2 linked regions of the Drosophila melanogaster genome follow. The protein of the gene in region 1 purifies or fractionates together with the protein of each later gene. This does not show direct contact. Each region holds a gene or a part of one and is shown in the gene's direction. Other genes may lie near its edges.

The links. Proteins that work in one complex are often made in the same cells at the same time.
Region 2: the proteins of CG2063 (region 1) and sbr purify together in Drosophila melanogaster (affinity purification with western blotting, with the first as the bait; one study listed by BioGRID). This does not show direct contact.

What each region holds. Positions count from the first base shown.
Region 1 is NT_033778.4:9,284,771-9,288,566, reverse strand, and holds CG2063 (uncharacterized protein), read left to right. Parts: upstream 1-1,932; 5' UTR 1,933-2,059; coding exon 2,060-2,152; intron 2,153-2,218; coding exon 2,219-2,964; intron 2,965-2,972; exon of another isoform or gene 2,973-3,028; coding exon 3,029-3,167; 3' UTR 3,168-3,257; downstream 3,258-3,796. Other genes in the region: Cog6 (component of oligomeric golgi complex 6), read right to left, coding at 1-604, 664-884, 940-1,571, 1,630-1,719.
Region 2 is NC_004354.4:10,844,054-10,849,062, reverse strand, and holds the start of sbr (small bristles), read left to right. Parts: upstream 1-1,970; 5' UTR 1,971-2,474; coding exon 2,475-2,571; intron 2,572-2,635; coding exon 2,636-2,796; intron 2,797-2,863; coding exon 2,864-2,956; intron 2,957-3,981; exon of another isoform or gene 3,982-4,143; coding exon of another isoform or gene 4,144-5,009. Other genes in the region: CG2202 (uncharacterized protein), read right to left, coding at 1-168; Pgls (6-phosphogluconolactonase), read right to left, coding at 582-698, 818-1,293, 1,425-1,563; CG32669 (uncharacterized protein), read left to right, coding at 4,144-5,009. UniProt on the Drosophila melanogaster protein: Mediates the export of the majority of mRNAs from the nucleus to the cytoplasm. In ovarian follicle cells, plays a role in transposable element silencing regulation by enabling the nuclear export of flamenco (flam) transcripts and subsequent piRNA biogenesis.

The sequences.
Region 1 (3,796 bases):
AGTGTGTCCAACTGGGCATCCGACTGCGCCTGCAGCCGCTCCACGCGCTCATCCATATATTCGTAGACAGCCAGCGAGCTTTGCATGTGATGCAGACAGTTCAAAAGGTACACACCCATGTCCACGGTGGGCAGATGGGCAGCACTTTCTTGCACGGACTGCAGCAGCGGATCTATCACGCAGCTCACGATCTTTGTTATGTCGGCCTGCCGGCCATCGACCATGGTGGCCACCGAAAGAATCTCTTTGAGCATATTTAGCAAACGTGCCACGCTTGGCGGCGGTACAAGATCCCTTTGCGGCGGTTCCAAGGCCAGGCCCGATCCTCCAGAGGGACGCTGCAAAACACTTCTCACCTGGGCAGCCAAGGCGCCCAGGTAGATCTGCTCACTGCTCTTCTGAAGCTCCACCAAACACTCCTCCAGGCTGCCGCCCTGCACCACCTGGCGCATTATTTGCTGGTAGAAGCGTAACAGATTGGAAATGGTAAACAACACAATAGTGTCCTTCTCCGCCTGCAGTATCGTCTCCACTCGAACCTTTAGAGGATGACAAACTCCATCGGCTATGTAGCCCAAAGCGTTCTGCAGCTGGTCGGAAATATCTATTGCAAAACGAAGAGCACTATTTTGGTGCCATAATGTATGCATTTTCTTATCTTACCCTGCTTATCGCACTTTTTGAACAGCAAAGATAGGTTCTCCTTTTCGGTGGGAATGCTCTGATGCAGCCACGCAAACATATCGCCAATATATCTCTTCGGATCGTGGGCATGCAGCTCAATGGGCTTGGGGTTCCCTCCAGGACCCCCTTCCGTCAAGGCCTCAATGAACTGACGCACCAAAACCGCTCTTCTCGCAATGGCGTATTCGTCAATGACGTATCTGCAAAGGAATTACTTTTATAAATGCTACAGGAAAGTCCACAAAATGGACACACTTGAATAGCACCGGACGGTCCTGCAGCCGGCTCATGGCTTCCACAATCAGCGGACCTATTTCGTTGTTTTCCAAACTGCGACAGTGGTTCTGAGTCCATCGGTAGAGCCTTTCCAGAGCGCCCTCCTGATGCAATGTCATCTCCTCCATGATGTCGATGGCTGCTGTTTGGTATCCACACTGCATCAGCAGCCGGCAGTCAGCGTGAATGCTTTGTACTCTGTCCAATACGCGAAAGAAGTCCGCCACAATGGGTGCATCTTTGGCAGCGCCATATAGTAACTGGTGCTCGGCTCCGCTTAGCTGAAAACGAGCCAGAAAAGCTTGCGCAATCTGCTTATGCACCTCCAAGCGGTCCCTCTCCCGCTGCATGGTGTTGGTCTGCTTGATCAGATCCTTGGTGAGCGCCTTTGAGGTCTCCAGATCCGATTTCATCGTCTCTACTGACGTGGCCATCGTGTCCAGATCTTCGCACACGGCATCCAGCGAGAGCTTCACCTGGCGGAAGGCCTTCAGAAAGTTCTCGTTGATGCCCACGGAGCGGTGTTCGATCTGGCTACGCAGATTCCTGCGATTCTGCAGCGTATTCTCCGTGAAGAAAGTGGACAGACCACTCAGAGCATCCAATGTGTCCTGGAACCGTAACGCGGTTATTCGCTATTGGCCAAGCTTGGGTAAATTGGGCACTGACCTTGTCCGACTCCAGGCGAGCCTCAAGGATCTTGTTGACCCTCTTCTGGATCCTGTCCAGCTCCTCCGGTTTTTCCTGCGTCGAGCTCATCTTAAACAGTTGAGAGTGGCCAGGTGCGCGAAAAGTAAACATAAGTTTGAAAAATACTTAAGACCTAAATGAACAGATGTAATATCTCCTTTATTAATTTTATTTTAAAGATATGTTTAATTTTATTTAAAGCTATCAATATCAAAGCATAGCTACTAAATGTTTGAAACGGCAACATTTTTTAGATCGCACTTTACTTTACCCCAAAAATACCAAATAATATTTACTGAATCCCTGGTTCACATGTTATAGAAAAATAAAACAGTTGCGTTTTCGACAAATTAAAAACAATTTCTTAAAATAAGTTGTAGTCATCTAAGTTTTAAATACATCCAATTAAATGGCTGCCCTGGCCAGCTTGACTGCCCAGTACACGGATTCCGAGAACGAGGGCGATGCTAGTCCGGATTCACAAAACTCCACGGCGTCCCTGGTTTAGTTTCACCTTAACTTTAGTCGAAATCTTATAATCTCACTAAATGCATTTCTCAATACCCAGGTAATCATACCGCCCAAGCGACCCACGCCGACGCCCACCAAACAGGACGAAGAAAGCAAGCGATCTAAGGAGAAGAAAAAGAAGCGGGCCAAGAAGGTGCGTCGGTTGGTGAGCTACCAGGATGACACCCTGATTTCTGACGAGGACGAGGACCGCGCCGCAGCGTCCTCTAGTGAAGAGGAGTCCAGCAGTGGCGACGAGAGCAATAGTTCCAATTCCCAGAGCGAAGACAGTCCCAAAGCCAAGGATAAAAGCAATGCTGGTAGTGGTTCCAAGGACGGGGACACGCCCATGGAGGTGGACGAGGAGCCGGCATGTTTCCCGGTCGAAGAACGCACGGCTGAGAGCTACGAAAAGGATGCCAAGTACGCCAAGTACAAGTTCCAGCTGCCACCCGAGCCAAAGGGGAAGCCGTCCGCCGAATTAGTGGCCAAAATCACTAAAATGTACACAAAGATGAACCAGACCAATATGGACATGAATCGCGTAATACAGGATCGCAAGGAATTTCGCAATCCCAGCATATATGACAAACTAATAAGCTTTTGCGACATCAACGAGTTCGGTACCAACTATCCGCCCGAGATCTATGATCCTTTGCAGTGGGGCGAGGAGTCCTATTACGAGTCCTTGGCGGCGGTCCAGAAAACGGAGATGGTGAAGCGGCAGAAAGATCGCAAGGACATGGACAAGGTGGAGCAGGCCACTGCGTTGGCCCGGAAAGTCGAGGAGGAGGCCAAAAAGCGGTAAGCATGCATTTAATCTACTGTATTTATTGAATTCATTTGTTAATTCGACTTCGTCCTGCAGCAAATCCAAGTGGGATCAACCGGCACCTTCGTCAACCGTTGTTAAGACCACTCTTCCGGCTCTAACCACCACGGTTACGGGCACCAAGGGCACTGTCATTTCCGCCTTTGGATCGCTGCCGAAGAAGCCAGCCGTTTAGATTTTAATTTTTAAATAAACATTTAGTTTTAAACATTCTCATCCCAAGGCTTTCAATAGAAGCCTTTTTTGGGTTTGTTTTTCCTTTTTTACACGGTCTTTGGTTTTTATTATGTTCTGTTTCTTGACAGCTTACACTGTATGTTATAATGAACAACAAATAATATGTAAAAATCATCGCTGTTTTTAAATACATTTTGTTTACCTTCAGTTTTAGGAATACCCCAAGTGCGCACATCACATACGAAAGTGTTCAATGGTATTTTCTTGGTATATTTAAAACCTATTCTGCATATTGTTCTCACTCTGGCGCGGTCACACTGGCTGTAACTCGAACATCCGTGTGTGTTGGGTTGTACTTTTGCGTTTTAAATTACAAAAACACAAATAAATACAGTGTTTATTTATTGGAAGCAGTCGGCGTTATGATTTGAAAATAGGAGTGCGTGATACCTAATTCGATTGATAGATTCGGAGTAAAATTTGGAGAACACAACACAGGGCAGAGCAACAACAACCACACACCGAGAGAAAAGAGAGAAGACAACGCAGCAACAGCAAAAGAATTTTTCGATCTGAGCCGAATGAGTGTGTGTGTGTGTGAGCGAGATAGCCTAAGATTTGTATAAA
Region 2 (5,009 bases), on another chromosome or scaffold:
CTCCAACGATACATCCTTTAGGCACACGCGGCAGACGCGCTCCGCGTCCACGGTGTCCATTGTGGTCAGGGGCTCTAACTGGGAAACCAACTTGCTGACCGCCGGCTCAGTTTGCGCCTCCTGGCACGAACCCAACTCCAGCTGCGGCTGCGGCTGTGGCGTTGCCATGGCTGTTGCGCGTCCTTCGATCTTTGCTATTGCATGTGGGCATCGACAATTAGCACAATTGCTGCTGAATTTTCATAATTTTTCTTTTATTTTAACAATACGAAGCGTTTGTTGTGCTCGCGAGTGCCGTCATACTGGGTGCGCCATTTGTTGTGTTACCGAGTTCGGCCACACTGCGTAAATATCGATATTTTTCATGTTGCCGATAGCTTTTTTAAACCAGATTTGCATTTTACAAACATTTTCTAAACATTAAATAAATATATAAAGAAATTCAAAAATAATTGTAAAATCACAATATTTGGAGTGTTTATTTATTTTCTCCAACCTTAATAGCTCAACAAATTAAACGCTCTCGAAAAGATTATCAAGGTAATTATTATTTACAAGATGCGATAGTTAACTAAGGAATGTCATTTTAAGGTTTCAATTTCTTTTCCAGCACCCGCGTCCACAATCAATGTCAACTGCCCTTTGGTCGGATTCACCCACGCAGCGGGAAACTTCTTGTCCAGATCGACAAACACACTCTAAAAAATATAATAACAACAAAAATAAACCTTACAAATGAAGTTTTTGAATTGTGGTTAAAAATATCAGATTTCTTGCTCATATTCTTTTCCATCTTATCAAGCTAAAGAGACCTCACCTTGACGACACTGGCTTTTGCGGCGCCCGTAACCACGAAGGCGACATTCCGTGCCTTATTGATCAGCGGCAGGGTGAAAGTGATCCGCTCGGGAGGCGGCTTGGGCGAGTTCCGGATGGGGATAACCAGGCGCTTGGTCTCCTGCAGGGTGGCTGGCTGCTCGGGAAAGAGGGAGCAGGTGTGGCCATCGGGTCCCATGCCAAGCAGCAGCAGATCGAAGCGATCGACTTGACTTTTGACCTTCGCCTCGTAATCTGCGGCGCAGGCGTCCAGCGGTTGGCTGGTATCGGCGCGGACGAACTGGGATTCCTGGATGCAGGGCAATTGGGTTAGCCACTCGGCCCTGTAGGCACCATAGGTGGAATCGCTGTCATCCAGGCGAACATACCGCTCGTCACAGAAGAAAAACACCCATTTGGCCGTTTTTAAGTTGCACGATTTCAGGGCTTTCGTTAGCAACTGGACGAGGGAACCACCTGTAAGCGAAACAAGACACTTGACTTTGGGAGCACAAGTTTAAAGATCGCACCTGGCAAGGTCACCCCTCAAGTTTGGCTTATCACAAGCCAACCCACTTGACCTGCATGACCTGTGCGTTGATCCTTACCCGAAAGTCCCACGCTGAACTTATCATGTTTGGCCAGCGCCTCCTGGGAGCAGCGCTGGAGAAGATCGCCCAGGGCCTGGACAAGTTGCTCCTCCGAAGCGGACGGGATTACTTTTAGCGCACCCTTTTTCTCCGACATATTGCTTGATCTGATAATAAAACTCGACTCGACTTCGATTTGTCAGTAATCACCATTCCCTCTCTCAACTATCGATTACCAATTTATGAAATACATTGCACCGTTTGCGACAAAATGAAAGTAAGTAAATCTTATACGAAAACATTTCACTACCTCTATTCGTAAAATAACAACTTATTTGATATTGAGCAAAAAAGGAGTGTGTACGTGTGTGCTACAACTATATAATATTTAAAGTAAGAATGAGGTAACTCTCTTCAAAACAGTCCAATAAAATAATATTGCATTCTAAAGTTTAACTGCAACAAAACAAAAAATAGCCAATAATCTTTAGATTTATCGCGGTTGTTCTGCGCTAGAGTGTCATCACTGATTACGACCTGTGCGATAGTTGGCCCGCCATCATCGATAGACCTGTCAGAAATTAAGAAAACAATATCAACATCAAGCGAATATACTTCGCTCGCTACATATTTCTAGTTAGTTTTCGTAACTTTTTCGCTTTGGTGGCAATTAAATCAAATTTCCTCGAAGAATAACTTGTAAAAAGGTCGCAAACATCCGTCCAGTTTCTGCCAACCATCGGCCACTGGCTATCGAAAGAAGATCGCTAGTGAATTAAATTTCACAAAATTGCGTTGTACTTTGGCCGTGGAAATTTGCCAAAAAACAGCAGCTACTTTGCTGCTATATTAGCAAATAGGTTCAGGAAGTCGAGAAAAATTTTTCCAGAAGTTGGCAGCAGTTTGTGTGAATGCAAAAAATACATCGCACATAGTTTTTTGCCCTCAAGACAGTTTTCTCAGTAATAACAACAGCACCCACACAAACACACAACACCACTCAGCTAAAAACGTGCTGAAATTCGCATATCTTTTTGTTGCATACGTTTTTGAGTGAATATTAGTAAGATGCCCAAACGCGGCGGTGGCAGTAGCCAGCGGTACAACAACAACGTTGGAAATGGCGGCGGACGTTACAACGCTCCCGAGGATTTCGATGATTTTGGTCAGTACACGGGAGTGCAAGAAAATGAACCCTCCAGTAACCTAAATATAATGTATTCCTATAGATGTGGAGGATCGCCAGCGACGCAAGGATCGAAACAAGCGGCGCGTCAGCTTTAAGCCCTCCCAATGTCTACATAACAAAAAGGACATCAAGCTGCGACCCGAAGATTTGCGTCGATGGGACGAGGATGATGACATGAGCGACATGACCACGGCCGTTAAGGTGCCCACCAACCCCACATGTTATCCCTATGCACATTTCTAATCTAATGTATAATTAATTCCAACAGGATAGACCCACCTCCCGACGTCGGGGATCGCCCATTCCGCGCGGCAAGTTCGGCAAACTGATGCCCAACAGCTTTGGCTGGTACCAAGTCACGGTGAGTTTGGACTACCATGTCATATAGATATCATAGCCGCAATGGCCCAGACCAAAATCATGTGATTTAATAGTAGTTTTATTACTAAGCTAAAGAAGCAAAAGCATTCAGTCCTCCAGCACCTGTTAGATTTATAACGTTCGCCATTATACAAATTAATCGACTGTTCTACTGGATGGCTCTTCTTATGCGAAGTACATATATGTTAAATGTAGTTTTAAGTATTTAGATTACTAACGTCACATAAAACTTCCAGAAGTTTGCTCCAGTGCTCTACTAATTTCCCGCCCCTACATAGAACTACAAACCCCAGACTGGTCCATATAGATACCAGATTTACGACAGCAGTCATAGAACTATTTTTGGTCTCCAAGAACATCATGTGATTCGTCTGATGGCTTTTTTTTTTTGTTATTGGCAAAAGATCGCGTTGAGGGAGCAAAGTATCCGGCAAGAATCGCATAAGTTACAGCGAAATGTTGAGACTTATTTGTTTATTTGTACACTGCTTCCAAAGCTCCAATGCCGACTTGCCGACTGGGCTCTTTGTGTTTATTAATTAATTTCCCTCGTAAAAATCGTAAAGCAAACAAGCCAAAGTTGGGCCGGGGGGATACCAGCTCTACACAGCTAACGACAATCGGGTACTACAATTACAATTGCAATCCGACGAGCGGGCAAATAAATATTTATGGATGGCTAAACACAGTCGTCCACAGTACCAGCCACAAGTGTTTGTCGGCACGAGCTAAAAGTGCAATGAAGTCGAGCCTTTGGTGGTTTGACAGTTGCCATGACCCTCACCTAAATGGTTTCCCATTTTAAGGGCTTGCGGGCCTGCGGTTGGGTTATCCTTCGCCTGGTTGTCACCCTATCCAGCCGCACGTGGTGCAACACAACAGGTCGCTATCTCTCGACGGGGTCGTAAATGCCATAGTAAAATGCCCAATGCTGACTCTCCACCAACAAAAGCTTGCGGTTTCATTCCGTTTGGGCCTTTATTTCATCGACGGCCGGCAGACGGTGAAGACGTGTTCCAACGTCCGACGCCCCATAGAATATATCGCTTGAATCTCAAGAGGCCCGATTAGGGGCAACTTATCAGTTTGGAGTGATTAGATGTGCGACTAGGGTTCCGTCGGGAAAATCAGCCTAACACGTGCCCCACTTAAAACCCGGCATCTGCAATGGCTACTTTGGGCGCCTGGGACTACACGATCCTGGCGGTGGTGCTGATCATCTCCGTTGCGATTGGCATCTACTACCGTTTCGTGGGCGGCAAGCAGAGCACCACCACCGAATATCTTCTGGCGGATCGTTCCATGAACGTGGCGCCTGTGGCCTTTAGCCTGATGGCCAGTTTCATGTCGGCCGTCACCATATTGGGCGTATCCATGGAGAACTACCAGTACGGTACAATGTTCGTCGTGATCAATCTGTCGTATGTGTTGTCCACGCCGGTGGCCGCCTACCTCATCATTCCGGTCTTCTATCGCCTAAAGACGGCCAGTGTGTACGAGTATCTGGAACTGCGGTTTGGCTATGCCACCCGATTGGCCGCCTCGCTGAGCTTCTCGCTCCAGATGGTCCTATACATGGGCATTGTGGTCTATGCGCCGGCTCTGGCCCTGGAAGCTGTCACTGGACTGAGCCAGGTCTTCTCCATCGTAATTGTTGGAGTCGTGTGCACGTTCTATGCGACGCTCGGCGGAATGAAGGCCGTACTCATCACGGACATCTATCAGTCGCTCCTCATGTTCGCCGCTGTCTTCAGTGTAATCATCTGTGCCTGGGTGAAGGCGGGCAGCTTGGAGGTGATATGGCGCGTGGCGCAGGAAAACGGACGCATCAATCTGACCAACTTCAGTGTGGATCCAACGGAACGTCACACTTGGTTCACCCAGATTTTAGGCGGATGTGCCACCTATTTGGCCATCTATGGTGTGAATCAAACGCAGGTCCAGCGCCTGATGGCGGTGAAGAGTTTGAGTGCCGCTCGAGCGGCCCTGTGGTGGTGCCTGCCCATTCTGTGCCTGCTTAGTCTGAGCACCTG